Rattus norvegicus: one gene and its partners. The protein of the gene in region 2 interacts with the protein of the main gene of each other region in a pairwise test. Links are inferred from orthologs where the notes say so. Each region holds a gene or a part of one and is shown on either strand. Other genes may lie near its edges.

What was found.
Region 1: the proteins of Tcl1a (region 2) and Ttc33 interact in binary tests that used the Homo sapiens proteins (3 or more experiments, as listed by UniProt). The two-hybrid records come from large-scale screens. The link is inferred for Rattus norvegicus from reciprocal best matches to the Homo sapiens genes TCL1A and TTC33.
Region 3: the proteins of Tcl1a (region 2) and Prtfdc1 interact in binary tests that used the Homo sapiens proteins (3 or more experiments, as listed by UniProt). The two-hybrid records come from large-scale screens. The link is inferred for Rattus norvegicus from reciprocal best matches to the Homo sapiens genes TCL1A and PRTFDC1.

What each region holds. Positions count from the first base shown.
Region 1 is NC_086020.1:56,003,244-56,013,270, reverse strand, and holds the start of Ttc33 (tetratricopeptide repeat protein 33), read right to left. Parts: upstream 5,802-10,027; 5' UTR 5,737-5,801; coding exon of another isoform or gene 5,702-5,736; 5' UTR 5,610-5,701; exon of another isoform or gene 5,596-5,609; intron 2,707-5,595; exon of another isoform or gene 2,658-2,706; intron 408-2,657; coding exon of another isoform or gene 407-407; coding exon 186-406; intron 1-185.
Region 2 is NC_086024.1:129,890,812-129,900,939, forward strand, and holds the start of Tcl1a (T-cell leukemia/lymphoma protein 1A), read right to left. Parts: upstream 4,946-10,128; 5' UTR 4,885-4,945; coding exon 4,765-4,884; intron 892-4,764; coding exon 721-891; intron 362-720; coding exon 314-361; 3' UTR 302-313; intron 1-301. UniProt on the Homo sapiens protein: Enhances the phosphorylation and activation of AKT1, AKT2 and AKT3. Promotes nuclear translocation of AKT1. Enhances cell proliferation, stabilizes mitochondrial membrane potential and promotes cell survival.
Region 3 is NC_086035.1:88,556,345-88,566,677, forward strand, and holds the start of Prtfdc1 (phosphoribosyltransferase domain-containing protein 1), read right to left. Parts: upstream 6,398-10,333; coding exon 6,350-6,397; intron 1-6,349. UniProt on the Homo sapiens protein: Has low, barely detectable phosphoribosyltransferase activity (in vitro). Binds GMP, IMP and alpha-D-5-phosphoribosyl 1-pyrophosphate (PRPP). Is not expected to contribute to purine metabolism or GMP salvage.

The DNA of each region.
Region 1 (10,027 bases), on a different chromosome or scaffold from region 2:
AAACTTTCTGGGGCTGGAGAGATGGCTCAGCAGTTAAGAGAACTGTGAGTTCAATTCCCAGCAACCACGAGGTGGCTCTCAACCATCTACACTGGAATCTGATGCCCTCTTTTGGCACGCAAGTGTACCTGCAGATAAAGCACTCATACATAAAATAAATCTGTTTTAAAAATCCAAAACCATACCGTTTGTTTTCAGCCAGATGAGCCCCTTCGTCCTTCAGCTGCTTACTCCTCTGTTTACAGCCTTCCTGCAGGGTTTCCTTCCTCCGTTTGCTGGCGTGGAGCCAGTTCCCATCCTCACTCTCAGCTGCACCCTTCTCATCAGCTGCTTCAGCTTCAAACTGCTGGGACGTGGCCTTGGACACCTTCTCGCCAATTTTCCTCTTCCACCCAAAGGAAGCCATTCTGTAAAATCCCAGAAACATAAACTGCTATGAACGTATTCTAGTAGTGACAGACACAGACTACCAGGAGACTATAGCCTCTTACAGCCTACTTGTGGACTGAGGGAAGAGTCACCAAGGACTACTAATTTCAAAGGTGACATCTGGACACTACTGCAAACCTCCTCTCCTAATGGGAGTGCTGTGCTCTTACAGACTAACCCTGAATCCCAACAGGCCTCTGCCAGTTCATACAGAACACACAATACGGTGAAGCATGCTCAATAACACCTCAGATGTGGGTAGGAGGAGGCACACAGTGTAGAAAAACAAAGCAGTTTCCTCAAGAAATGAACAAATCGGAGAAGGGATGGGAAGGAGAGAAAGAAAGATGGCAACCCTTAGGTTAAGAGACTGATGAGACACAACTGAGTCTCGTGTGCATATCTGCTTTTACTCCTGACTTAAAAAAAAATTAAAAGGACATTTAGGAATGCACACTAGACATGACAGTATGAATAAGTCACTCCTGTATTTTAGTTGTCTTAATAACAGTATGAATTTCAATAAGCCTTTTCCTTTAAGAACAGCAATGTATTTGCTATGAAATTATATGATACCTAGAAATTCTTTCAAAGTCACTAATGGTGAGAAATGGCATGGAGCTGGTGACACAGATCACTTCGAAGGTCCCTGATGAAGTTGGGAGACAAGCATGGATGACTCATTGCTCCTCTCCCCCTTTTATAAATATTGAAATTCTCCTTAATACAAATTTTTATGCTTTGAGTGGTTTTTGTTTTCTTTCTGAAACAAGACTCACTATATATACAGCTGTCCTGAAACTCTGAATAATAGCTCAGGATGAACTCAAGCTCATTAGCCTCCTACCTCACATATGCTAACTTACAAGTGGGCACTACTACACCTGACTACAGGAGAGTTTTACAAGGTTTACATATTGAATGGCTCAACAAAACTATTGGGAAAGTCAAAAATAAAAAAGTTTAAAAACAATATAAAATGGCTTTGTAAGCCTAGCATGACATACAAAGGTTAAGGGAAGGAAGAGTAGTAGAACAAGTCAGTTCTGGAAGTCTTCGATAGTACTTAGCAACAGGACTAAGAAACCCAGTCACTCATGAGTACACAGCTGGGCTTTAAGATACACGGTAATCCCTACAACTGGGTATAGAGATCTTAGACAGGGGTTGGGGATTTAGCTCAGTAGTAGAGCGCTTGCCTAGCAATGCAAGGCCCTGGGTTTGGTCCTCAGCTCCGGGGCGGGGATGGGGGGATCTTAGATACTGTGTGCATTCAGGAGCATGTTAGATTTTATCCATTCTTGGAGGAATCTGTAACCCTAAGGAGAAAGCAATGAACTCAGGTCTTTTTGAAATTATCAAACAACAAACATTATGAGAGGGAGGGAGGAGGAGGGACAACAGCAGTAAGTATGTGGCAATACCAAGGTCACTGATGTACATGACTGCAGTGGAATATAAGGAACAGGAAGAGAACAGCAACACAGTGAGGGTGGCTATCAGAAGGAATTGTAGGTCACAGGCCTGCTACTGAACAAGAGGAAATGTAACAGATCACAGCAACCACATAACAGTGAGTACATAGTCTGATATAGTTGAACCATGTACTATGGGAAATCCTGGATACATAATGGAGTCCTAGGGAATTAGGACTATGGAAGCCTCCTCCTTGGACTCATCATCACATGGGGAAATGCATTTCCTCTGTCTGAAACATCACTTTATATACATCCATCCCAGGAGAAAACAAGGACATGTGTAAAAATGAAAGTGTGGCTTCTATAGATAGCAAATCCAGAGGCACAGAGTGAACAGGCTGGGAAAATGGATGCTTAAGATTGCCTTCAAAGGATATGAGAATACAAGAGGAGGAGGAAGAGGAGGAAGAAGAGGTGGCCGTGGTGGTGGTAGCTCTGTTGTATTTAAGGCTGTTCCTGAAGGTAATGAGAATTTGGAACTTGCTTTCTACATTACCAATGCAGAGCACCAGACAGTGTAACAGATATATTAATGACAAAACCTAGTGTGTTTACTGGTGTGTTCACTTTAAATACTGGTCAAATCTGTTAGGAGAGGGGGAAGGATGAGGATGAGAACAATGAGAAAACCAAAGTTAACAAATCACTGAGATTCCAACCACCCTCCCCATCTCCCAACCTAAGCTACTATTGTTAAATGCTGAGGTCAGATTCGGGTTAGGTCCCAGAGGGAGGCTCTCTGTCACACACCCTGTTGCCTCCGGAGCATGTTCCTTCTTCCCCACAGACACCTTGAATAGAAGGCTATAGAAATCAAAAGAGAAATGAAGCTGTTAGAGTATGGAGGCAGAGACCATCAGAAATTGACAAGTTCCAACTTGAAGAGGGAGGGACAAGAAGACACTTCTAAAGTTCAGGAGCAGATAGGGATTTCATGTCCCCAGATTTCACACTACTCGGGGAAGTAAGTTGTAGCCATCTACTCAGCATAAAGGAAAAGTAAATAAACAAACAAATGTATGCATACGGGAAAGATGAAAAATCTAACGCAGTCCTTGTGGAGAGTAGAAAAGACATAATACTGAAGAAACAGCAAGCAGCATCACGGACAGCATACCATGACAGGGACTGCCAGCATGGAGACATCTCAGAAGCCTGCAGCAGCTCCTTGTAAAAAAGGATGGTGTCTGGGATCCTGAGAAGCAGGAGACACATCCCTCCAGGGCACCCGCCATCTGTAATAAGGTACTGCCTACAGTAGCAACATCTCAAGTAGCCTACAGTAGCTCTTTGTAAAAAAAGGTAGTACCCATTTCTCCTAACCTCAGCCCTGCACAATGGCTGTATAGATTTCATCTGTGCATGAGTGCCTTTCAGTTGGCCTTGGTATGCATATTTGTTTTGTTTTATCTGACTTTCCTACTTCTTTCTCCTTCTGCTCTGGTAAGTTCTGTGAAACTAGATGTTCCTTGATGTAATGATTCTTAAACAACTGGAAATTGAGGCATAGGGGCACAGCACAGCACAGCCCTAATGGCCCAGGTGCATGCTGTGTTCTCATCTTGGAAACAATGTAATAACTGCACGATGTTCCAGATTAATGCTTGACTTGCAAAGAAAGTTTGAAGAAATTATTAGGAAATGAATCAGAGCCAACATTGGGACCCTAAGAAAGAAAAAAAATCTATTAAAGTTATGAAATAAGTTTCCTACCACATTTGAGAGTGGTTCCTGGATAGGCAAGTATAGAATACATAAAATCTTACACTAGTAAAACTGAGTCAAAACACTGGGACTCTGAGGAGTGTTATTGTGTGCAATGTGCAGAAGCAAAAAGCTAGCAGAACTGCTAAGTTAAGGGTTAACTTGATTCTTTGTGGCCACTGCCTGATAGCTTTGCCCATGTCATTTATCATTAGAGCTTCACAGAACAATGCAACTAGAACTTGGAGCTCTGAGATCTGAAGTATAGTAAGTCAAAAGTTAAAGTTTAAATAATGATAAGTTTGCAATTATTATTATTTTGGTCACAGGCCTGGGAATAGGGGAAGCTTGAAACTTTCATAATTCTTAATTCTTCGTGGGATGTAGTTATTTTTTTAAATCTGATTTGGCAATGATTATACAATATCTTTTTTTCTACCTGATTTTGTGGTATCAATAAAAGACTGGGGCAAGAAAAAGACAAGAGAGCATGTGAGGTGGATATAAAGAGCATGTAGGAGCATGAGAGAGTATGAGAGAACATGTGTGAGCATGTGCGAGCATGTGGAGACTGAGTGGAGAGAATGAGGTGCCTGCCCATGAGATGTGTGTGTGTGAGAGAGAGAGAGAGAACAAAGAGTGAGAGAGAAGAGAAACTTTAAGCCTTGAAAAACTGCCTGTCAATTTGTACCCCAAAAGTAGTCTGTGTATATTTATTATGCGCCTTCCAGATATCCCTGCTTCCAGTTGAGAACTCCCCAATCCTGTGTCGAGGCTGGACCCCCCATACCTACTAAGGTGAAAAGCATGAATGTGTTACCAGGACAATACCAAGTTTATATTTTCTCCCAAACTGCCTGTGGATGAGGAGACTGAATTCAAATACAATACAGGTAAGTGCTACCAAGTGCGATCCAATGACCTGTCAGACAATGCACCCTGGAGGCTTCAGGAAAGTGAGCTTTAAAGAATAGAAGTTGACCAGGCTTACAGGAGGGAAGGCATGTATGAACATCTTCCCCAAGGAAAATGTAATGCTCTGACTCGATTCTGAATCTTAAATGCTGCTGGGGAGAAAATACAGACAATTGTCAATTAATGTTTCTGGGTTCCTCTTTTCAGTGATTAAAACGTCCTAAAATCAACTGGCATAATGGCATAATTTTGTGAACAACAACCAAGGCTACTGAGTTATACAACCTACAGGGAGGAATTGTATAACACACCACTTACATCTCAACTAAACTGTTTTCATCTTAGGTTATGCGCTTCTTGCGCCTCTAGGTTGTGTTTTTAATTAACTTATCACTAAAACCGCTTACAGAAGGAGCTTTGGTTGATCTGTATTTGGACAGGTAAGGCGCCAAGTTTCTAAATACTTTCCACCGGGATAACATACCAAGTGAGTAAATCACAACTGTACAGGTTTGGTGTTAATTCTCATCTGGAGTTAAAGTCTAAGTGCTCTACAGAATTGATGCGTGGCATTAAAATTCGAAACACCTGTATTCTAAAAATCCCATACAATGATCTCCACAGCAATCGCTCGACTTGACACTTTACCCGGGCACAAGCCGGGTGCTTGTGACAGAGTCAACGTCCTCTCGTACTGACTGCGTGAGAGGATGCGGCACCCAAGATGGAAAAACACCGGCGGGAGGTAGAGAGTCACAACGACTCTCAGAACAGGAGAGATGAATCTGGAGGTGAAGAATTAAGAGACCCGGATACCTCAAAATGCTACCAAAGGAAAATCCAGTATCCAAAACTTGCACCCTGCGTCGGCTGCACTAAAAATAAGCGCCCGCTATAACAGCACCTCAGGCCGCAGGGCCAGCACACAGAACCCTGCCACGGCGCCCCGTGCCCAGGACAGAGGCACCCCTGAGGGCTCTGCGGACCTCACCGGGCCACCCTCGTCCCTCTCTCCCTCGTGCAGCACCCTCACCCCTTGTTTCCCTCTCCCCTGCCGCCTACCGCCTACCCGTAGCCGGTTACCTGAAAGCCACTCCGTGGTCCGTGTTTACATTCCACTTGCCCTATGGCACCGGAAGCGGAAATTATCCTGTCTGGAGTCTAATCTGCCTTACCTGCCTGTGCTTCCTAATTCTTTATAAAAACCCATGAAATCATCCTGGGACGTTCTAACAGTTCAGCAAAGCGAACAGAAGAAAAGAAGAATTTCTTACCCGCTAGCGCCCTTCTACGAGACCACTGATCCCAGAAGTCACTGCGGCACCCTCGGACCTATGGGATTTGTAGTAAAGACACCAGACCCTAGCACCCTCTAAATGCAGCCGGGAGTGGACTCCAGGCTTGAGAGTCAAAGCTATGCAACTGTTCTTTGCAATACACACAGTCCTCGGGTAAATGGCTTACAGCCTAGCCTAGACAGGCCTAGCCGCTGAGGGTCCGTGAGATGCAGAAGAGGAAAAAAACTGAGCTAAAATAAGTACAAAGGGGAGCTGTGCTAGTTTGTTTTTGTCAACTTAACACAAACATAGACATAGCTATGGAAGAGGGTATCTTAATTGAGAAAATGCCTCCATAGATTGGCCTACAAAGAAATCTATGTGAGCATTGTCATGATTAACGATTGATGTGGGAGGACCCAACCCATTATAGTCGGTGCCACACCTAGGCAGGTGGTCTGACCGTATAAGGAAGCAAACTGAGCAAGCCTAAAGGACCAATTACTGCCCTGCTTGAGTTCCTACCTTGATTTCCTACCAGACTGAGGAACTAGAAGCTGAACCTTTTCCTCCCGAAGTTGACTTTGGTCATAGTGTTTTATCCCAGCAACAGAAACCTTAACTAAGAGTTGATCAAGGAGAATCAGGCTGAAGGGCAAACTTCCTGTAGGAATCCACAGCAGAGCCTGAAAGTAACACCTGTCCCCTTCTTACAAGAAAATTAGCAGGCAGATGCTAACACCGGTACACATTGAGGAAACTAAAAACTCGGTAAATTTATCCACATAGCTGTGCTACACAAAGCAAGGTCCATTGATAGAGACCACCCTTTTTCAACTCACCACAGCATTTCTTACTGGTTAGTTATTTATCGAGGTAAACTGATAACTTATTTCTCCACTGGGAGAATGAGTCAGATTAAAATATATAAAAATGCAGGTTTATTGAGAAGCTGCTCTTGGGCAGGTGAGTTCACTGGCCCCAAGGAAGGAGGCCAGAAAAGGGAGAGAGAAGAGGAAGATAAAAAAAGAAAGCTCTCAGGCAGAGAGAAGGGGGTGGGGTGGGGGACAAGAAAACAAAATGTCTGGGTTATATAGTGAAGATCCTCTGGGGGAATGGCAGCCCAGGCCCTGTGCTGGAAAATTCAGGTTTGGGAGGCAGTGTATACTACGTAGGGACTGAGGGATTCTGGAAGAGCCTGGAAGCAGGTCTGCTTTGGTATGTAAAATATGCACCTAAGCCATTTGTTCCTGGGTCTGAAACCAAACAAAAACACTCCCTACATACAACTCATCAAAAGGACCACCAACTTGTTTCTCTGCAAACTGTCAAATATTCCCTGGAAGAAAACTCTTACCCAACACTGGCATTAAAGTCACTGATGCTGGCCCTGATGCTCTAGCAGAGGACCTGGGTTCAGTTCCCTACTCAGCATAAAGACTCAAAACAATCTGTAACTCCAGTTATAGGGGAACTGTTGCCCTCTTCTGGCGTTCACCAGAAACCAAGCATTAGGAGGCCCTTCCATACCCAAAGTTCGTACATATTGCCATTTTTCACAAAAGTGAGCATTGGTACCAACTGTTAAAACGCCACAGTGATAGAACTGCTACGTCGATTTGAGGTGATTGACGACAAACTCTAATGGTAGTGATGTAGTCCTCTATCCCACCCCTACAGGTGAAGCTCTGAAGTACAAGTTCTTCCTGAAATGAGGCCTGGCTATGTTACCTGGCAAGACTCCTGATTCCCAGGATCACTGTAATAAGCCAAATATCAGTGCTTCATCAAGGGTATTTATTTCTAAATAATGGCATTCATTTTTCTACGATACCAAGGTGCTTTTGCTGCCACTGAAGTGTGATGTCTTGCAGAAGTGAGTAAAGATTCCATTATGATGACTGGACAGAGAGTTGAGCAGTTAAGAGCACTGGCCACTGCTCTTCCACAGGACCAATAAAAGTTCAGTTCCCAACACCAACATCAGGCAGCTTACAGCCTCCATGTAATTACAGCTCTGGGCATTTCCAACACTGCATTCCGGCCTCTGCAAGTGCCTGCACACACACACACACACCCATCAGAATAAAATCAATTCTCTTTTTTTCTTTCATTTTTTAAAAATTATGTATGAACACCCTGTGCCTGTCTTCAGACACACTAGAAGAGGGCATTGGATCTCTTTACAGATGGTTTGAAGCCACCAAGTGGTTGCTGGAAACTGAACTCTGGATCTCTGGAAGAGCAGTCAATGCCATCTCTCTAACCCCAATAAAATCAGTTCTTTAAGGCTATTATAAAGTTCCACGATTTTGTGGAACACAACTTTTTTTTTTTTGAACTGCTGACAATCTGATTATCCATGTCTTTGACCTTTTCTTGAAATGAACAAAGCAAGGGGGCTTGTGAAATGGCTAGCAGGTAAGGATGCTTGCTGCCGAGCCCCATGACATGACTTCCGCCCCTACAACCTATTGCTTGGAAAGACAGTTGTCATCTATCCTCAGGGAGTGTGCTATGGCGTACACACACACACACACACACACACACTTTATTAGAAAAGAACCTCATTTTAAAAAAAAGTTGACAATGTCTGTTACCAATGACAAAATTGTACTCCTTATATAATAATCTTGATAGCTTCCCGGTGTGCCTAGACTTTGAGATCAATGGTGACTTCAGATGCAATGTTTATTTATAATTTGATTGCATTCATTAATGTTTGTAAGAGTTGTCAAGTAAGTCAGTATATTCAAAATAACCAATGCATGACTTTAGGAGCCAGCTTCTAAAACGGGCTTCAGTGTTTTCTACCCTTAGTGTTCACACCTCTGTGGAGGTCTTCCCATGTCAGAGTTGGTTTGTGGCACCTCATGGTTATATTAATCAGAATAGACATTCTGTGGGAGGTGATGATCTTTAATCTGGATGGAGGTTCATGTGGTCACATTCACTGTAACTCTGAAACACTGAGTATCTACCCGGTCCATTCTTACATTTTTGTTCTTTGGTGTCTGTTTATCTCCATCCATCCCTAACAAGATGGTTGGAGCAGGACCTGTATCTCACTGTCCTGATGACATATGTCATGAATGACTCATGGTGACCATATGATTAAATACATAGTGCTTGAGGCTCTGTTCCTCTTCCTAGTCTCTTAGGGTAGCTTAACTATGGTGCACTCTACTCTGGTAAAGGCTTGGCGATGCCTCCCAAGTCATTGAGCAGCCTCTAAATTTTTGGCACAATTGACTGGCCTTTACAACAAATACAGGCTTACTCATTCATAACAGGACAGTTTAATGGATGGCCGTTTTCTTTTTTTTCTTTTCTTTTTTTTTTTTTTTTTTTGGTTCTTTTTTTTTTTTTTTTGGAACTGGGGACCGAACCCAGGGCCTTGCGCTTCCTAGGTAAGCGCTCTACCACTGAGCGAAATCCCCAGCCCCCCTGGATGGCCGTTTTCACATGCCAGTTTTTTTTTTTTTTTTTTTTTCCAGAGCTGGGGACCAAACCCAGGGCCTTGCGCTTGCTAGGCAAGCGCTCTACCACTGAGCCAAATCCCCAACCCCCACATGCCAGTTTCTTGTGTAAAGTTGTAGAGAATGTCTAGAAAAATGAGCTCTCCAAAAGAACTTTACATGCTGTTCATAACATCCTGAATAAGCTTTTCTAATTAAATATTTAGAAAGCTAGCAATCTAGCGAAAGCCTCTAGAACTCTTGAGTTCTAGATTAAATAGTAACTGAATTCTAGCAGCGATGGACTTCAAGTCCTGTGTTTGTGATTGGTCTGTGACAGCCACTTCCTCAACTTCACTGTCTGCATCCTAATATTTTGTTTCCATGGTTGATTTCTAGATGAAATCTATACAAATTCATGAGACAAAATCAGCATTCTGAATACGAAAATATAACCAAGCACTATTCTATATTTCAGTACATGAGAGAGCCCAGATACTCAGCGATGAACAAGTGCCCACACCCACCCCAAATCTTGATTAAAGAAGAAAAGACAGTGTAACAGATGAAAAAATGAATGTTTTCTTTATTATGCCATCTTTCTAAATCAGGTTACTCTGGGCAAACATACATAGACCACAATGATTGACTCCTCCCAACAACCGACTTACAGTTAGGCTGTGTGTGGAATTTCATTCATGTCAGAGCCCACAATGAACGGTGGAGGGGAGGAGTTAAGAAGAATTTAGACAACATGGTTTTCTTT
Region 2 (10,128 bases):
GGAGTGGGTAAGAAAAAAAAAAATGGAGAAACCTGCTTCAGTGTGTAATTATCTGCAGATCCCCAGCTGAGATGGTGGGATGGCTCAGCAGTCATCTCTTAATAGACAACTGATGGTGAACAATGGGGCCCTGTAAACATGGGTGTAGCTGGAGCTCCTCAGGTGGTAAAGGAGAGACATGGACACTTCCAGGAAGTCTGTCTTACTCTGGGCACTCTGAGGACAGCTGCTGGGGAGGGGCTGTCACAGCTTTCATAGAGAAGGGCCCTCCTTCCTCCAGATGGAGCTTTGGGGCACTCACCATGTCTCAACGTTACTCAGAGTCCAACAGTTCAAGTAGCATGTCCTCATCATCTTTGAACTGAGGGTAGAGAAGGAGAGAGACAAAGGAGTGGTCAGACCAGCCCTGAGAATTCCCCTTTCATTCTGGCTCAGCTTTCCTCAGCCTGGGTTAGTACTGGGACCCGAGGTGAGGTGGCTAGCCCTCTCAACGGGACTGTCAGTGACTACCACAAGAGGGTTCCTTGTGACAAGGGGTTTGGCTAAGACCTCAGACGATGGCTTCTTTTATCCAACCCTTAGAGAAACATCTGCATTTAGTTCCCCTTCTATTAGCTTCTGGTGCCAGGGTTGAGGGAATATAGAGCTAGCCCATGCCAAGACCAGAGACCAGGATCACCCAAGACTGCCCACTCAGTCCTTGGGGTAAGAGGTGCTTGCCTTGATGTGGTACACTATCTGCCAGAACTCGGAGTTACTGCTTCGGTACCTTTCCTCAGGGTATAGCTGCCACATTAAAGGCAGCTCATACGGCACCAGCTGACTTGGGGTCATGGAATCCCCCAAGATGACATCTTTCTGTCGCATGATCACCTGGAATTTTCCGTTACTCTGCAGAGGCAGAACAGAAAGAACACAACCTTTGCCTCCTGCTGACTACTGTTGGGCTCCTCTGAGCACACCACCAGCAGCCATTCTGTCACTCGGGGGGCGTGGGGCTATCCCCACAGCCTGAGCACAGACACCAACCCTGGACCCAACTCTATAGCCCATGCACAATCTTAGGAACTCTGGCTGGACCTGGGTTTAGTCATCCTCAGGGTGCTCTTTTCCTGCCAACCTCCTGTTGCTAGGGTAAACCATGCAGCCCTCCGGTTTGGTCCCAAGAGTGTGTATGGGGAGGGTCATGCATGCACAGCAGAGAGGACAACCTTGGGTGTCATCTCTTGGACATTATCTACTTTTTCTTTCGTCTATTTACTATTGAGACAACATCTCTAATTGGCTTGGAGTTCACCAAAAACACCTCACAAGAAAACAAACAAACAAACAAAACCAAAGCCCAACCCAAACCAACCAAATGAAAACTGGATGGTTTGGCTGGTCAGCTCCAGAGATCTGCGTGTAGCTGCTTCCTGAGTGCAGTCTCCATAGCCATCCTCATACTTACAAGACGAACACTTCGGCAACCTTACCCAGCCTTGCCAGGTTATCTTTTTGTCCAGTGTCCTCTTTTAAATGAGGTCTCGGTCCATGGACCTGCTGTGGAAACTGTAAGTGAAATGCACTGTCTTTCCTATCAGAGGGTTAAACGAGATCAAGGAGCCACCACCTCTAAAGAGGTTGGCATGGGACCCATGAGCAAAAATCCCTCCTTAGAGCCCGAAGTTTTCTAAGATCTAAGTATGCATTTAAGGTTGCGATCTGTTTTCAAAGTTATGCTTCGCTCACTGACCAACAGTGCAGCTCTGAGTCACTCAACCACATAGGCATGGAGTTGACCAACGGGTGTAAGGCTCTGGACCACTCTGGCAGGAATACAACTTCATGTCTTTGGATTGTGTGATCATTCTCTTGAGGACACCCTGCACCCCCCCCCACACACACACTCATTTCTAACACTTAGAATCTGGCGACAGCAACATTTCTCCTTCACTAGCATGGCTCCTCTGGGCTATGGCAACAGTATCCTCCGTTACTGTCTTCAGATGCCAGGGTTATGGAAGTCATGGCTGCTAGATTCCCAATGCTTTCTCTTCATGGGCAGAGGGAGTCCAGGGCCCACAGAAATCCACAAAGCCTACACCAGAAGTGTCTCTGCCTCCCTCCACTGTTCTGTTCACACCCCTCCATGATCCATGTCGTCCCAGCCACAATGTGATGCCTGGTTTGTGGGGTTCTCACAGTCTACGCAGCAAGCCTCACCAAATCTGTGAAGGGCGAGCTCCCTTTTGGGCAGCCCTCTGTTCAAATGTAGGTCTATAAAGAACAAACACTACATAAAAACCACGTTAGAGTAGTGATGAAACATACAGTTTTATTAACTGACAGGAGTTAAAATTCATTGTTTTGAAGCAGGACCTCATCATATCTAATTCTTGCCAGTTTGGAACTTGCTCTACAGGCCAAGCTAGCCTCAGACTTACAGAGCTCCACCTATCTCTGCCTCCCAAGTGCTGAAATCAAGGGAGAATACCACATAGGCACCACATGTAGTCAGTTCCTGTCCATCATGTGCATCCTGGGAAATCAAACTCAGGTCATTGGGTTTGGTGGCCGTAGTGGCTATTCCTGGTTGTCAACTTGACTGTATCTGGAATGAACTACAATCCAGAATTGGAAGGCTCACCTTTGATCCTGATCTTGAGGCTGGGAGATACAAGTTTCTAACCTGGATCTTGAGGCACAGTGGCTATGTATCCCAGGAGCTTAAGGCAAGGAGATCTCTGAGTTCAAGGTCATCTGGGACAAAACAAGTACCTGACCCAGGCATGGGAGTACACAACCATTAATCTGGGACACCCCTTCTGCTGGAGATTTACATAAGGACACTGGAAGAACGGAGGGTCTCTTTTTTTGTCTGCCTGCCTTGTAGCACTGAGCCACCACTAGAACCTTGAACTTCCATTCACAGCTGCTACTGACCATGGTTGGAGAGTTGGATTACAGACTAAGTCATTGACCAATTCTCCCGTAAGTTCTATGGCTCTAGAGAACCCTAAGACAATGAGAAACCTGGTCTCAGCCACCTCACCAGCTCCTGAAAATGAGTTTTATCCACCGATTTGGGATGGAAAAAACAAAACGGAAAATTCACCACCTAAACACACAAAGCATCTTCCCCCAACACACACACACACACACACACACACACACACCCAGTACAAGCAAACCATACAAGGCAGACCAGTTAAGACCTGGTGGGACCAAACAGCACAGGCCTGCAATGCCTACTACTCAATAAGCTGAGGCAGGAGGATGGATCCTAAGTCCAAGGCCTACCTGGGATACAAAGGGAGCTTAAGGTCAACCTAAGCAGCTAAGACCAAGTCTCAAAACTGAAGACCTGTACAAAAGGGCTGGGCTGTGGCTGTGCAGTAGAGTTCTCGTCTGTTCTGCACAGAGCCCTGGGTTTGCTCGTCAGCAGTGCAGGGGAAGAGAAAGCAATTTGAAACAAGACGACTCAAAATGTGACAGGCGACCACAGTCTGTGAGTTCACAGTGTGCTGACGCCCCCTCTCCACAGCACAACTCACTTCCCCCGCCCCCAACCCCCATGCCTACTTTCTTCCCCCACAGGACTCATCTGCCAGCCTAATCATTACTTTGGTTACCCCATTCCCCACTGCACCTCCTTCCCAAGAATAGGGCTCCTACCATACTCCCTGCATGCCCTCAGTGCAGACCTGTGTTTGGGATTTACACTAAGCACTCTCAGGTGTTTAACAAGTGCACTTTTCCCCCAACGTGAGACCACTCCTGTGTAATGATCTGCGGACGACGAGATCAGTTGAATCTGTTAAGTCAGATTGTGGTGCCAGGTGTGTAAGCTCCACCATTCACAGCCCCTGAGTCAACAATCTAACCACTGTTACAAATTATCCTGTTTCCTTATTAAAGCACACATACACGGCTTCTTCAGTCATGGGAAATAAACCCTGCCTTGGAGTTCGCTACCAGGCTCCTCCTGTTCAGACAGCATCTACCACACCTCTGGAACACTCGTTGGCTCACGGTTTGCATGAAAAGCTAGTCATTAACCGGATATTAACAAGAAATAGCCACCCATGTTGTCTTCACACATCTGACTTAATGTTTAAAAAAAAAAAAACTAGATATATGTAAAGTTAGCGTTGTAAAATGACAGCAAGAATGTAAATTTAAGAGCCCAGAACTGTGGCTCCACCATTTACTAGCAGCACCCCAAGTCTGCCAGGAAGCCCCACCATCTACTAGTCACTCCCAAGGCTCACAATCCCCAACTTTGCCGGAGTGGAGCCAGTTCTCAGGCCCTGGCGTACCACGCAACGTCTCAGCAGTTTAATTTTGCTTTTATAGCTTCTCTTGGCTTTACAAGTGGAATACTTTCTGCTGGAAAGTACCTCTAGAAGAGATTTCTTTTGAAAGCACCAATGTTCATTAAGACCCATGCCGAGGACTCCACACGCAAAACAAAGTTAAGTCTTATTACCAACGTGGATACTACTGGCTACCCAATTTTATGGTTTAGGGAAGCCTTGTTTCACCCCAAATCATAATCACACACCCCAGGCAATGTGTGAGAGGGGCTTGTTCACTGAACTCGGGGTGCCCCCACCCTCCTCCAGGCAGGCCCACAAGGCCCGACTCATCTGGGGTTTCCCTAGTCCTCCTGTTTCAGGCACAAGGGACCCGCTGTACTCTGGTCTCCTGTTACCAGGACTCCCAAGCCCAGACAGGGTATACCCCTGCTGCCCGACCTGCTAGCCCCAAGGCGGTTGGTACCTTGATGACTATCGGCAACCAGCTGCGACGAAATTCATCCAAGTACACGTGCTTCTCCCAGAGCCACAGGCGGTCGGGGTGTGGGGGTGTCTCTGGCCTGTATGCCAGCTGGTTAGCCATGGCATCCGGTCGGAGCAAGAAGCAAAAAATTGCAATGCCAGTCCGTGATAAAGCGACTTCCTAAGCAGAGAGCATAAGAAACTTGCTATTTATCACCACCAGGTGTGGGCCTGTGCCCCCTGGAGCGAGGCGGGGCGGGGCGGGGCAGCGTAGTGTGGGTGGGGCGAACCACAAGGATGGTATGCAGGACACTCAAGTGGACTTCCACCAGGTCTACGTTTGCAGACCTGACCCATCAGACCTAGGGTTCTTCAAGGCCCCCAGGAGATGTTGCTTCTCTCCAGGTACACCCGGCCACCGGAAAGGTATCCATGACCTGTCAGGAAAAACAGCCCTTTGCGTCCTTTATGGTGAGACCCCACGGTCCTAGCTACTTTGTGTGACTGCTCAAGCCACACACACCCCCATGGCAGAACACCCAGAGTGAGGTCCATCTACATATCTCCTGGGATCAGAAACCAGTCCGGTTCTCCATCACCTTCAGCCAGTCCTTTTGGGTGTCACAGGCAGTTTCCTTTGCAAAGTTCAGTCCCCTCCCTCTTCCGCTCATGACTTTTTCCATGGCTCTGATGAGGCTGTGGTCTTCTAATAAGTCTTGCAAAACATACTTTTGAAAACATGGGTTTACTGTCTTTGTCCTCCGACTTAGAGAATGCATCAGTCCAGACCCAAACTTAAAAAGAAACCCTCCCTACACCCAAGATCAATGGATTTGGAAAGTCTCTGAGTTGCTCAACCAAAACTGTCTCGTTGTAAACAAATAAGGAAAACCAACTTTCATTATTTTACAGTAACGCCTGCCCATTAAGGCAATTAAGAAATTAATGGAAAACATGGAAAACCCAACTCTGGGCTGGATGCTTCAAACAGCCCTTCAGCTAGCATCTGAGCCTTGGCCTCACTGAGGACTCACGGAGGAAGCCATTTGTGGTCTTCGGAAGGTCAATCCCCCAGAAGTGTCAAAATGGCCTGAGGTCAGCCTGGTGGGTTCAGATTAACCGGAAAAAGAAACAAAGAAAAGACTTAAGCCCTTCAAGCGCAGACCTTGGCCTTCAGAATTCAGACTAGCTGCTTTTGTGCCCATTTCCCTGTAGATGACTGTCTCCAAACCCAGGTAACTTCGTAGAAAGATGAAGACTTTTGGAATAAGCTTGGTGTGGAAGTTCTGGGTGAGTGCAGCCTTAGCAGGAGGATAATTACTTATTTTTTTTTTAAAGATTTATTCATTTATTATATACAAGTACACTGTAGCTGTCTTCAGACCCACCAGAAGAGGGCACCAGATCTCTTTATAGATGGTTGTGAGCCACCATGTGGTTGCTGGGAATTGAACTCATGACCTCTGGAAGAGCAGTCGGGTGCTCTTAACCGCTGAGCCATCTCTCCAGCCCAATTACTTATTTTTAATTCATTATTTTGTGTTTGTATTTGGGTGTGCCTGCCATGTAGGGCTCGGAGAAAAACATCGTAGGTCCTTGTAGGACCTTATAGGTCCCTGGGATTGAACTCAGGTTGTCCTAGGCTGGGTGGCAAACACTTTCACACGCCGAGCCTTCTCACTAACCCGCTGGTGGGCACAGCATTTGTGGCAAGGGGAAAGAGTCCCCCAGAAGCCAGGATGGCCCAATCCAGACACAGACACGGCCCCAGGGAAATCTGCTGATTTTCTTCCTCCACTCTCTGCTTTCCTATGTGGTGCTGGAGAAAGCGAGGGTTCTAGGATTCCGGTCCCTTTTCTTCTCTGAAAATATTTCTGAAAGTTTGCACTCAGGCCTTTCGATACTGAGCTTGAGTAGACCCCAGTCTTGTGTGGTGCTTCATTCAGAAAGGTTTCAGAATAACAAAACAGGCGGATCCGGGCGTGGGGCAAGTGTCCACTTTGATACTTTTAAAATGTAAATTTCACAACGGGGGGGGGGGCGGAGGAGCGGGGGGGGGGGCGGGGAGCGGGGAACAATAGCTATTATGTGGACTCAAGCGGGAGGAGCCTAAGATTTCAGGGCTCCAAGCCTGTCAGCCAGAGTTTTAGAATTTTCTGTTCCCTTTTGAATCTTTCTGTTCTTAGTCCTTGAATTCTCACGCGTTAAGCGCCTGGACTTCACAAAGCAGCCATCCTGCAAGGCCCCCTGAACTCTGACATCTTGGCGTCCTGCCTCAGGTCTTCTTTCGCCTTGACCGCTATCACCTGTGAACTTGGTCAGCCCTTTGCTAGTTTGGCTTCGGCTGCGATGAATGAGGAGCAGAAGCTCCTCCTCCTCGGATCCTTCAGACAGATCATTTCAGAGACCGAAACCCCTGATACCAGCTCAGGAAAGCCTGTATAGCTTTTTCTTTTTTTTTTTTTTTTTTTTTTTTCGGAGCTGGGGACCGAACCCAGGGCCTTGCGCTTCCTAGGCAAGCGCTCTACCACTGAGCTAAATCCCCAACCCCTGCCTGTATAGCTTTTAGCAGGAAGTTTTTGCACCAAGCATTTTGTGGAACGCCCTAGTCAGGAATTCCAATTAGTGGCCAAAAGGAGGACCCGTTCTAGAGCCTCCGGACTACAAGTATGGTCCTTCCGGCTAACCGCGCAGCATCACCTGGCGCTCGTAAAGAATGGGGTTGTGAGTCTTCCCAGCCCTCTGGAGTCAGACTCCACAGGAACAAGAACCCCAGGTGATTCCTGGGCAGAACGAGGGGGTCAGGGGTGTGCTGGGGTAGTGGATGGAGGTGTTTCAGAAGGGGGAGATGACACTCTTAGCAAAGCACCAAGCTTTTTGCATTTCCTTGTGACACAGGAGTTTAGTTCTCTCGTTTTAGGTCAAACTCAAGTCTACTACACAAAATGTTTGTTCTTAGAGGAAAGTCCTGGTAACCAAGGCCACCCTAATCCAAACTTTGCCAGTGAGTGATACCTCTGGCTGTAGTGGGCCCAAGTTTCTGGGTAGAAGTGGGTCTCTTTCTGAGCTTTCTCTGTTCTGTTGCATTTCTATGATAAAAACCACACTTCTGAATAAATCATTTATGAATTTTGAATACCAGGGAGACTTTGCCTTTCTTATTTTTTTCAAAATTATTTTAACTGCCTAGGGGTGTTTGCATTTTGCATTTAGTGTCTGGGGAGGATTTGATTGCCATCTTACTGAGTGTGTACATCAGGCAGAAACTAGCCTTTATTGGGATTTAACAACATCTTCATTAAAGCGTTATTTTTGTTTGGCATAGTTATATTGTTTTATACTTTTGTTGAATGGTATGTGTGTGAATGTGTGTGTGTGTGTGTGTGTGTGTGTGTGTGTGTGTGTGTGTGTTGCATGCACATTAGAGGTGTGGGTGCCTGTGTAGATATATACAAAGACCAGAGTGGAACCTCTGGTGTCTTCCTCTTCTCCCTGTATTGCCTTAAGACATGCTCTCTGGCTGAACTGAAAGTTTGCCATGTAGGCTAATGGCCAGCAAGTTCTCAGGATTCTTTTGTATCCACCTCTTAAAGGTGGGGTTATGTGCACCAGCAGTCATGCCTAGCTCTTTACAAGAGTGCTCGAGATTGGAACCCTGGTCTTAGGCTTGTTGTGGTTTTGATGTTAGTTCCTGGAATGATGGCACACTACTGAATTTTAGTGGTGTTCTCATATTTAGCATATTCGACTCTCCCATTTTAATTTTAATGGTTAGTTTATCTGTAACCGTTTTTCTACCCCCCCTCCTTATATATCCGTTTTTTGTCTGTCAGTCTTTCTCTCAGTATCTAGTTCTGTCTTTTTGTCTCATTGAGTTTCCCTGTCTGCTAGACTCCGGTACACAGCAGAGGTCACTGCTGGTGGTCATCTGTCTTTAGTAAGAACACTTCACGGGCACGTCAATTCAGGCATGCAATCCTTACACCCAGGGGGCCTGAGGCAAGAGGACTACTCAGAAGGAAGGAAGAAATAAGTAAATGTAAAAGTAAATATGAAGAACACTTCTAAAATTTAACCATGTCTAGCATGCTGCTAGAGGTAAGTTTGGGAAGACACATAGTATTAGACTAAGGAATGCTATTACCATTTCTGCGTTCCCACACTCCCTTTCTTTTGTCCTTTGACATGAACGTGAATGGCACTTTCTCCATCTGTTCAGTCTGTAGTCACATGACACAGGTGTTTCAGGTTGCTGACCCTGTACTCAGCGCCCCTGCTTCCTGGCCTTGGAGCCCCCAATCTTTGCAAGGGCGTGGCAAATGTTCCAAGTTCAACTTCTTGTTTCTGGGAATGAGGGTGACTCCTCCCAATCCCTGATAAGCCAGATTGATCTGTCTAGGGCAGCTCTTACTTGGGAGTAGCCTGCTCTAGCATATGAGACCTAACTAAGATCTAGAAAGTTCTTAGCTAGTGCTGTCTTTATGTAGTCTCTCTCTCTCTCTCTCTCTCTCTCTCTCTCTCTCTCTCTCTCTCTTTCTCTCTTTTTCCTCGTTTGCAGTTCTTCTAAAGAGAGTGTTGATATGTCTGAGTCTACCCTCCATGTCTTAGGTTTGTCCTTGTCTGTCTTTCAGCTAATACATTCCAGGAGGTGTACTTACACTGGCTGTTCTTCAGTTAGCAATTAACTCCCTGAGAGTAGTTGTTATGTGACTTATCTCAGCTAGCAACGCTTTCATTTCAGGCATTATATATATATATATATATATATATATATATATTTTATCTACACCATTCATTCATGAGGATGAGCAAGTCAAGAATTCTGTTTTAAACTCATTGGAAGGAAAATGTTAAAAAAAAAATTTCTATGGCCATGGAGAAGTGCATTTTAAAAAACCAGTAACGGAAAAGAACGCTGAGTTGAAAGCTTTTTAAAAAGTACGGCAAGCCAGTTTTTAAAATAATTCATATGTTAGAAAACATGCACAATATCTGTCTCTATGTGAGCACGGGTGACAGGCTGTGAAGAACTTAAGCAAGCTGTTTAAGGAAGAGAGATGCTGGTGAGGACTGAGCAGGGAATCAGAAAAGAGCAGCTCTGCCGGGCACTGAGTCTGTGTGAAGACATTCGCATTATTGGGGGTTAAAACAGCAAATGGGCAGAGCCGCATGGCATAGCTCCCTCTTGTCAGGAGGAGCCTCAGCTGTCTGATGGGCTCCATGTTGGGACATAGTGTACTCTGACCATGCTGTGCCTCTGTGTTGGCATTGCCATGGTGGGGGAGGGGGTGGATTTCAACTCAAATTGGAAACAGTGTACTCAAGTTTAAAGGTTATTATTATTATAGGTTTCTTTATGTGTACT
Region 3 (10,333 bases), on a different chromosome or scaffold from region 2:
CACCTTTACAGAGAGGCCTCTCTGACTACAAATATAAACCAGCACTCTCCTTCCTCCTCATCCCATTGATGTATCCTTTATATCTGATTTCACTTTCCTTCATAGTGTATATTACTACTACTAGATGTGTGTGTGTGTGTGTGTGTGCATGTGTGAGTGTGTATGTATATATATGCATATATGAATGTGTGTGCATGTTGTATAAGAGTGTGTGTATAAGCGAGGGTGTGTGTAGGTGTGGGTGTTTCTGTCTGTCTGTTCTGACTTGTCTTTTCCACTGGAATGTGAGCTACTTCTGGCAGACATTTTATCTTACTTTCTGTTCAATCCTTCATGCCCAGACCACTGACCTGAGATCTGGTAAGTACCAAAAAGATGTTCAACAATCAAATAAATGAGATAGTCATTACCTCCGAACTCCAACCTCAATTTGTCAACTTGTGATAGAGATGGCTACTGTTCAAAGCTCTGGAAATTCATAGCCATCCCACTGGCGCAAGGAGTATGCACCATCTGCATAGTCAAAAAGTGTCCTATTTGTTGCACCGCCACCAGCAAGCTGGCTGGTGTGACGGGTGAACTTTTATGGAGCAAATCTGGTTCCGCCCTGTAAATTCCAGGAGCCTGCTGTAACCAGAGTGGCTGTCAGTGGCCTCACAGCTGTACCTGAATGACATTTAGTCTCTGAGATGGCCCAGTTAAGACTGTCCAGGGAGATCAGCCAAGCCCTTCTCTGGCTTTCCTTCTGAACCACACAATGGCACCCACTCCACTTCCTGGAGCTCATTCACTCACAGTGCTGGTAATTAGTGGTCTCCTGAGCTTGTTCCTCACTCCATGAAAATCCTTACAGCTCTTTGCTCTGAATCAGAGAGACTACACTGTATATCAAGGCCGTGTTCCACTCTCTCATTTTTACTGCCACGAGATTGGGAGACTGTAGTTTTCTTCCTCCCCTTTTGTTTTTCTTTAGTTTTTGAGACAGGAGCTCACTATGCAGCCATGACTAGCTTGCAGCTAGCTATGCAGACCAGGCTGAGGTTTTAATTCACAGAGCTCCATCTGCTTCTGCCTCTGTCTCCTGAGTGCTGGGATTAAAGGTGTGTGTCACCGTGCCCAGCCCTGATTCCACTTTCTTTAAATAAGATAAAATAAAACCTATGGAGTGAATGACATCAAATAGATTTCAAAGACTAATGCATAACAAATACTGAACAAATGCACAACACACACATACATACATATATTCACATTATGTTCACATATACATACACACACATACATACATATACACACATGTATGCAAACACACAAATACACATATACATGCACATACATGCATATACACATACACGTACATGCACATACATACACAATACTCAAATACATACACACATATACACACATAAATACATAATATACACACATATGCACTCATACATATATACTATACACATACCCATATATACATGCACAAATATATACATACAGACATACATACTTATAGACACACATACATATATATATACACATAAACAGACACACACACACACACACACACACACACACACACACACAAATGCCAAAGAAAAAGAAAAGATGATAGGAAAATTAGGAAACACACCTATACGTGAAAACAGTCAGAGCAGACAGTAGCCCAGGGCAACATGAGCAATGTGGATGTCAAAGTCTGACTCCTCTCGGGCAAGTCTGCTAGCTATGGGACCTGGGACATATTACTGTCTCTAAAACAAAGTCAAGGCCTGTCTCACATGAAAATGTTAAATAAGACAGATAATGAATATAAGATTCAATGCATGTAGTCTATAGTGCTATGCAGTGTAAGTATACTGAAGCACCCGTTGTCTATATAAGTCACATAATCATTTATATAAATACATTGTAACTCGGTTAGAGGAAAACCTTAGTGCTGTTTGCCAAAGTCTTACTACTCTAGGTCAAGCAGTAAATTTTAATCCAGCAGGAATACATACACGTGTCTAGAACTGTTCTCATGATCACACGTGGCCATTATTTCTAGTTAATCTGAAATGGTGTTTTCGCTGCAGAGACAAAAGACAATAGGAGATGAGACTCCAAGTCTGTTTTGCTGACTTTGCACACAAATGGCGTGTGTGTGTGTGTGTGTGTGTGTGTGTGTGTGTGTGTGTGTGTGTGTGTAAGTCTAATCCTGGAGGGATTCAGAGCTGCAGGGCGCCTCTGAACTTTAGGTAGTGGCTAAACTAACGTTAAAACAAAAAAGAAAAAGCAAAGAATCTTAAATAGTTTTAGGATCACTGATAACTTGCTCTAACTTTATTCACAATCATTTCTCTGTTTGAAGAGGCAAAAAACATCTCCAAGCTGGAAAGGCGGCAAACACAGTAACTGAGTCATTTTATATCACATCCAAATCCAGAACGCATTGACTCTCTTGGTCACATTTAAAGCTATGTTGAACACTTTCTAATTGTTTTCCTTTCGATATTTCTCCCCAGGGCAAAAAACAAACAAACAACAACAACAACAACAACAACAACAAAACAGTTCAGAAACATGTGGGCAGAGCTCAAGCCTCCTTGTCCCGCTCCAAGGGCCATGCACCTAGTCCTACCTTCCCTACAGACGATTGTCATTGGTTTTCATGCCTATGGCTGTCCTCCCTTCAGCACAGAACCCCAGACAGCAACATCAGCAGGCCCAGGTCCAGAGCCCAACACTATTCTTACAATACAGGGATACAAGGGTTCAAGGAAGGCCCAGGTTCTTCTGCTAAAGCAAGGAAAAAGCTCAATAGACCACAAAAACTTCCTTCACAGTGCCTTCCTCTTCTGCAGGCTTCTTCCTCCTCTTATTTATCCTCCTATTTGATTAACTGGGTTCATCTGTATGATCTTGAGTTTGGAACTCACCATTAGAAAATGGCAGGCTCAATAGTGGGTACACAATCATGCCTCCCTTTCTTCTAGAATCTGAGGATTGCCAACACGTCAGCAGCATGTGACAAAGGCTCGTGGTTCCCTTCTCTCTCCACAGATGACTGTTAAGATGGCCTGACTTTTGGGAACTCGGTGTCAGCGTGCCCATTTGCTGTGAGCTCATGGTCCCTATCCTTACGTCTTGCTCTCTCCCAGTTTCTCAATAGTCCCTTTTCTCACACAAACTGTACTTACGTCATGATTAAATCTCCCGGCTTCATTCCTCTCACCATCTTTAGCATCACAGCTCTCCCGACCCTGATTTTCCTTCCTAATCATTGGTAACACGTTGGGTGCATTACTCTAAGATGAGAGTCTGGAGACTGCCTTCCTGACCTTTCTAACTAGTCTATCTTATAGCTCCTTCCATTGCGTCACTCAGCTATTTAATCCTAATTCTACACCAGCAACACGCACGTTCCCATAAACCTACCAGTCTTCTGAGGTAGCCCTACCTCTGGAGTTACAAGGTCTGTTTATTGTTATAACTTCCTTTTTGATTTTTGTTTTACCCTACCCTTAAGGACTGGCTATTTTGCCTACATCCTTCTTGCCTCTGGCTTTCCTAACCCTTTCCTTTCTTCAGCACCTGAATTTCCTTCGAATTTTACTAAGTCTTATTGGAGAAATTAACATATGCAGAGGGTGTTTCTGTCATACACTGGTTATCGTCAACGTTAGGGGGCACTTGGGCAGTTCAGCAACTACTCACAGTGCCCAAGCCTCACTCTAGCTTCTTCTCTCCTTATTGACCTCTTGCTATGCCCATGGGTCCTTCATAAGGCCTCTGTAGACACAAATAGATAGGAATATTGTGTTTACAGTTTTTCTCATTTTAGGCTTTTTAGACTTTAGTAATCTAAGCATCCTATGAGTACATCTAGATTTATCTCCTTTTGATTTTTAATAATCTGTGGTGATGGGGATGGGTTTTATATGAGCTACACCTCAAGCTGGATTGTGCCACTTGACTTTGGAAGCATCTAGCATCTATGGTACAGTGGCACTCTAGATTTCACAATTTGAAAGGCGTTCCACATTGCCGTGGTACTGTAAGTAGACTGGCCACGAGGTGGCTATTTGAAAGGTGCTCCTCGAGTTGGGGATTTAGCTCAGTGGTAGAGCGCTTGCCTAGGAAGTGCAAGGCTCTGGGTTTGGTCCCCAGCTCCGAAAAAAAAAAAGAACCAAAAAAAAAAAAAAAAAAGAAGAAGAAGAAGAAAGGTGCTCCTCACTAATGGCCTCTGGTCATCCCCATCCGACTTGCTCTTCCGGCAACATCAGACACTCTTGACGATCTCATGACCCTGGCTAGTCCACTTCCGTCAAACTGTTCCCTAGACATCGACTCCTCTCCTGCTTGCTTTCTCCCATCCAGCGCTTCATTCTTGGTGGGCTTTGTGTCCACCATGTGCCTCTCACATCTGGGGGCGTTCCGGGCGTTTGTTCTTTTTTTTTTTTTTTTTTTTGGTTCTTTTTTTCGGAGCTGGGGTCCAAACCCAGGACCTTGCGCTTCCTAGGTAAGCGCTCTACCACTGAGCTAAATCCCCAGCCCCCCGGGCGTTTGTTCTTCACTCCTTCTTCTTCTTCTTTTTTTTTTTTGTTGTTGTTCTTTTTTTCCGGGAGCTGGGGACCGAACCCAGGGCCTTGCGCTTCCTAGGCAAGTGCTCTACCACTGAGCTAAATCCCCAACCCCGGGCGTTTGTTCTTAACAGTTGATTTTATTTCTCCCAGTTTATTTTATTCCATTCTTCATTTATCCCCCAAACTAACCTGACAATGGTTTTCCAAATCTACCTTAGTACATTCTGGAGTCGTTTCAAGTATGACTTTCAGGTTGCGAACCTTAAAGATGTCATTTGGGAGGCAGTTAGCTTAATGACTTCCTCTTTCATATTTTCTTTTTTTCTTTCTTTCTTTCTTTCTTTCTTTCTTTCTTTCTTTCTTTCTTTTTTTCCCAGAGCTGAGGTCCGAACCCGGGGCCTTGCGCTTGCTAGGCAAGCGCTCTACCACTGAGCTAAATCCCCAACCCCCATCTTTCATATTTTCACCCCCTCCCACCGGGTCTATCATACCCACAGCGACTGGAGTGTTTTTATTGTAAAAGCACAAATCAGAAACTGTGTTCTCCTCTCTGCCCTTGACATGTGTCTCTGTGCCATGGGTCCTCACATGGTTTACCTTCCGTTTCTGTTTCTGATCTTGGGTGAAATGTCACTGCAGACTCTTTGATCATATGGGTAAAGACACTGCTCCCCTCCCCTTTCCAGGAATGGCTGGCTGAACTATCCAGACTGTGTTTTCACAGGGCTTCCCTGTGCCCCTTCCCAGAATGCAAGTTCCAGGAAGAAGAGTTTATCTGGTTACCAGGTGTAGGAGCAGAACCTGGCACGGCAGACAAAAGGCATTCCTCCTTGAGGGAAGGAAGGTCCTGCTGTTTAATTGAGAGCTGAGCCCCACCTTTCAACCTGAACAGTTCTATTTAACTGAGAGGTGTTTCCTTCCCAACCCACTCATTCTAATTAAATCCATTCATTTCCATAAACAGATTAGCTGCGAATTACACGCTGAGCTCTGGAAAGAGGATCTTAATGGTAAATCAGCCCCGCCCACCACCTTCACACCTTTTCACCCCATCCTGGACTCACAACTACCATCCGCTAGAGTTTAATTTCAATATTGTGGGAGCTGGGAGCCCTCGGGCTGACACCTGAATGAACGATCCCTGAAGTTGAAGAGGTTTGGACCTGGCCCCACTTCCATCCTGACACACTACTGGGTTTTTCACACATCAAGTTTGTCTTCCGTCACAGACAAGGCATAGGACACTCTAGCTGCTGGCTTCGGCAGAGCCGCGCCCCAGATTCAGAGTTCCGATTGCATTCACTAGCGCTACTTTGCACCTTGGCTGCCCTGAAGAGTGAGTTCTCAGTGGCCGTTTTCAAAACAGAACTCAAAACTCACTGAAGTGAGGAGGCAGTGCTAAAAGGAAGGCCACTAGAGCTGCGTGCTGGGGATCTTCCTAAACCCCGGCTGGCAGGCTAGAGTCCTTGTGGATAGCAGAAGTGGGGACCCGGTAGGAGGCTGGCTTCCAGGCCAGGAACCCGCGGGGAGGGTGGGAAGGGAGGAGTTATTGGGAACTCTGGATGAAGGAGTGATTTTAGTAGGAGTTTCGTCAGACCGGGTGGAGAAGGGAGGCCTGGATGCGAGAAAACCAGCGGTCTCCGCCCGGAGGAGGAACAAAGCCTTGGCCGGTTCTCTCCCGAACGCTTGTCAGCTAAAGGGTTGGGGGGCGGGAGTGGAGGGGTGCCCCGAAGGGAGGAGAGGGGAGGGGAGAGAGCTAAGGGAGCCGGGAATCCGGAGTTCGCATTTACCACGACGCCTCGCCCGGAGTCTGGCGCCTTCTCACTGCTCCCGGCCATGTCTCTCGCTGGGAACGCCGGACGGACAGCGCCCGGAGGATGTGGGGGCGGGGGGGGGGGATGTGGCTGGGGCTGCCCCGCCCCCAGCCTGCGGGCGGGAAAGCTGGGGCTACAGTCGAGGCCCATTCCCGGGGCGGCGCGGGAGCAGCTGTGGAGCAGCGCCTGATGCACCTGAGCGCGCTCCGGGGAGCGTCCCTGGCGGCCCCCCGCCTGCCCCTTTGCCGGCTCCGCACCCCGCGGGGATATGGGTCAGGCCTGCGATTCGTTCTGGAGAGAAAGCCGTCCCTTGTTATTTTCCTTCTCAAAGCCCATCGCTGCAGCCCCCAGGCCAGCAATTTCCAAGACTCCTCCCTGCCAGATTTTAAATGCACATTTGTCCCCAGTCAATGCATTAAAGAGAGGCAGTGCAGCGCGTTCTGGGCTTTGGAAGTGGGCCGGAGTATCCCGGAGGACTTCAGATCTTGGCGCCCTGCCAGGAGTTGGAAAGCGCCACGAGCCGGCATTTCCTCCGACCAAATCCTGGTGATCCGATGAGCCCAGGGCAGGGACTTTTTACAAAATACTGTATCTGATTTACCATTTTACTCTAATTGTCCTAGGTTGTAGCTAAAGGCAATTGCTCTGCTCTGATTAGAAAGCCTTGTTTTATGAATCTGTTGTTAAACCAACCCCTAATCCCAGGTTTCTTCTAGCCCAGCGACCTGGTCCTTTGTTCTTTCCTCTAAGGTCCTGCTTTCTGTTTATAGTCCTTGGTCTCCCTCATCTTGCCAGAGCCTGCCCACGGCCCACTTTGGGTTTAATAAAGGGTATACATGGGTATAGTTCTTTTGACTCTGTCTTCTCCAAAAGATGTTTGCTAGGATAGAGTATAGCTCAATGATAGAGCATTTGCCTAGGATGTGAAAGGCCACGGGGGTTGTAAACACAGCAACACACACATACATGCATACGTACACGCGCGCACGCCTCAACACAATGGCTTCTTCACTCTTTGGCTAAGATCAAGTGCCAAAAAGATCTATTCGATTTTCGTTTTCTGGCACACATTGGCAAGAGGAATACCGATTGTGTTGCTTTGAAGGGAACAAGTTACCTATCAATTCATGTTGCCCTGAATTGGAATAATTGTGTAATAATATTGTACTTATTTTTGGTGGACCAGCCATGCTCAGCACTTTGGCTGTTAATGTTTAAGCAGCCGAACTGTGGAAGAAGAGGGGTACAAGGTGTGGGCTCCCTGACATTAGTCCCTGGGCTTGGTGCTGGCTGCATCAATGTGATGTTCTCTAGCACACAGGTAAATAGTTTCAGTCTACTGCCTCTCACCTGTTTTCCACTTCATTTCTTCAAAAAATGGGCCCAAACAAATATTCAAAAGCAATATTATTGAAAATTCCAGGAATTGATCTGGAGAGAGATGGCTCAGTGATCAAGAGTACTTCCGTCTCTTACAGAAGACCGGGGTTCAACTCTCAGCACTCAAGTGGTGGCTCACAACCACCTACGGTAACTCCAGTACCAGGGGATCTGATGCTCGCTTCTAACCTCTGTGGGTACAAGACAGGCAGGTGTTGCCTACATGTAGGCAAAGCACTTGTACATGAAATGAAATGACATAAATGAATCTTAAAAAGAAACTCCAGGAACTGAAAAGTACTGTTGTTATGGTAACAACTGAACTCTAGAGTGCAGGAAACATGTTAATGCGGTTCAGTGGCCACACTTTTCCCGATGGTTGGTACAGACCTAAGGTGGGGCTATGGGTGGTTCACAAACCCTGCTGGAAGATGCATCACGCGAGTATCCAACTGCTTCAATGTCAGACTCAGCCACAAAAGTCTCCCTGTGAAGTCATAGTAAGAATTATGGCGGCAGGGAACTTCAAAATATTTTTCAGGGCAGGGCACGCGTCTCAGCATGTGTTTAGGATGCTCGCTGGCTGAAAAATGGCAGGTAGACCTTTTTCAAAAGCCCATACGTTTAGACATAAACAACAATGAATTTCTGGAAAAAAGTATAGCTTGCTTGAAGGACAAGAAGACTCTTTTTGTTGGTGTTCTGTGTAAGCTCCATCCCCACAGTTGCAACAGCCAGGTATGCTCCGCCCCACAGTTGCCTGGCAACAGCCAGCTGTGCCTCGCACTATAAAAGGGGCTGCTTGTCCCCTCCTCACTCTCTTGCTCCTTGTTCTTGTCCTCTTGCTCTCTTCCCCTTTGTCTCTTCTCTCCCCATTCCCCTCCCCGCTTCCCTCCACGTGCTCATGGCCGGCCATTACTCCTCCCCTTTTTTACTCTTCTTCTCTCATTAAACCTTTCCACGTGGAACTATGTTGGCTTGTTGTGGTTTGTCCAGATGCAAGCCGAGATTTCTGCCCCAACACTTTTATGAATTCATGTTCTAGACCATTCTATAGACATAAACAACAATGAATTCAGTGAAAAAAATTAGCTTGCTTGAAGGACAACAAGAATCTCTTATAAATTCACGTTCTAGAACATTTTATATATAATACTGTAGGACATTTTATAAAGAATCATAAATAAACTTTAAAATAATAAGCTTGTATTTTTCCTGTTATATTTTGTATTTGTTGGACTATGATTGATAACTCTGGATCACATGAATGTGATATAATATTAAATTATACTTGCAATGACCAGAGCCATAATGTTTCTGTCAAGGCTTTAGAATTAATCGTACAGTAGGAAGATTTAGAGGCATATTTTTAAATTTCTGTAATAAAGGTTCTGAAATAGTTTTGGATAGGAGTTTCAATTCTAGTATGACCTGTAGGTCTTTAGCACATGAGTCTAAACTAGTAAGATAAATGTATAACACAATTCAATTCTCTCCTCTGTGAGGGGGGAGGGGTAGGCATTTCTGCACTGCATGTGATAATGAGGTTAACATGAGAAAACATTCATGAAGAACCTTTGAAAATGTTTAAAAAAAAGTGTAACGTTATCTGCTTGAGATGCCATGAAAAAAACAATTCATGAACAAAGAAAGGTTTTTGATTGCTGAAAAAAGGAGACATTGCCTCTCCCTGGGATGAGCCTCCTGATTAGTTATTCAATGGTCTCTCTCAGGAATGAGCCCCTGGATTGGTTATCCAATACAAAGTGGTCAGTCCTAAGACCATATACATTCAAACAACAAAAATGGACTCAGAATGCTGTATTTGTATATAAATATATATGTATATATACATATAAATGTATGTGACAATAATAAGGTAAAAGAGGCTATGAATTCAGAGGGAATAAGGAGGTTAGGATGGGACTGAGGAGTAGCTGAAAAGAGGACCAGAAGGGGCATAAGTGATGTAATTCTATTTTAATTAAATATGTATAAAATAAAAGAATAAAAAGGAAAGATTTATGCAATTATTATATGAAAACTGATAGGAAATTGATGTGTGTGTGCATTTGTGTGTGTGTGTGTTTGTGTGTGTGCGCACATACCTGAAGGGTAGAGCAGGGCACCGTGTATCCTGCTCTGTCATTCTTCAACCCTATTCCCTTGCCACAGATCTCCCATTGAGCCTGGAGCTGGTCTGGTAGCCAGGAAGCCCCAGGAACATCTTGGCTCCACCCTAGGCAGTACCGAGGTTTCAAGTGTGCACAGCCATACACAGTTATTTTGATATATTTTATTTTTTATATGTGGCTGCAGGGATTTGAACTCAAGTCTTCACGATTGAGCAGCAAGCCTTCTTACCAACTAGGCCGTCTCTCCAGACCCTAGGGATTACTCTTTAAAACTTATGTAAGAGCCTGGGGAAAGATGGCTCAGTGGTTAAGAGTTCCCTTACAGAGAACTTGGATTTGGTTCCCAGCACCCACAGGGCAGCTGACAACCATGCATAAATCCAGTACCAGGGGATCAAATGCACTCTTCTGACCTCCACTGGCACCAGGCATGTGGGGTAAACAC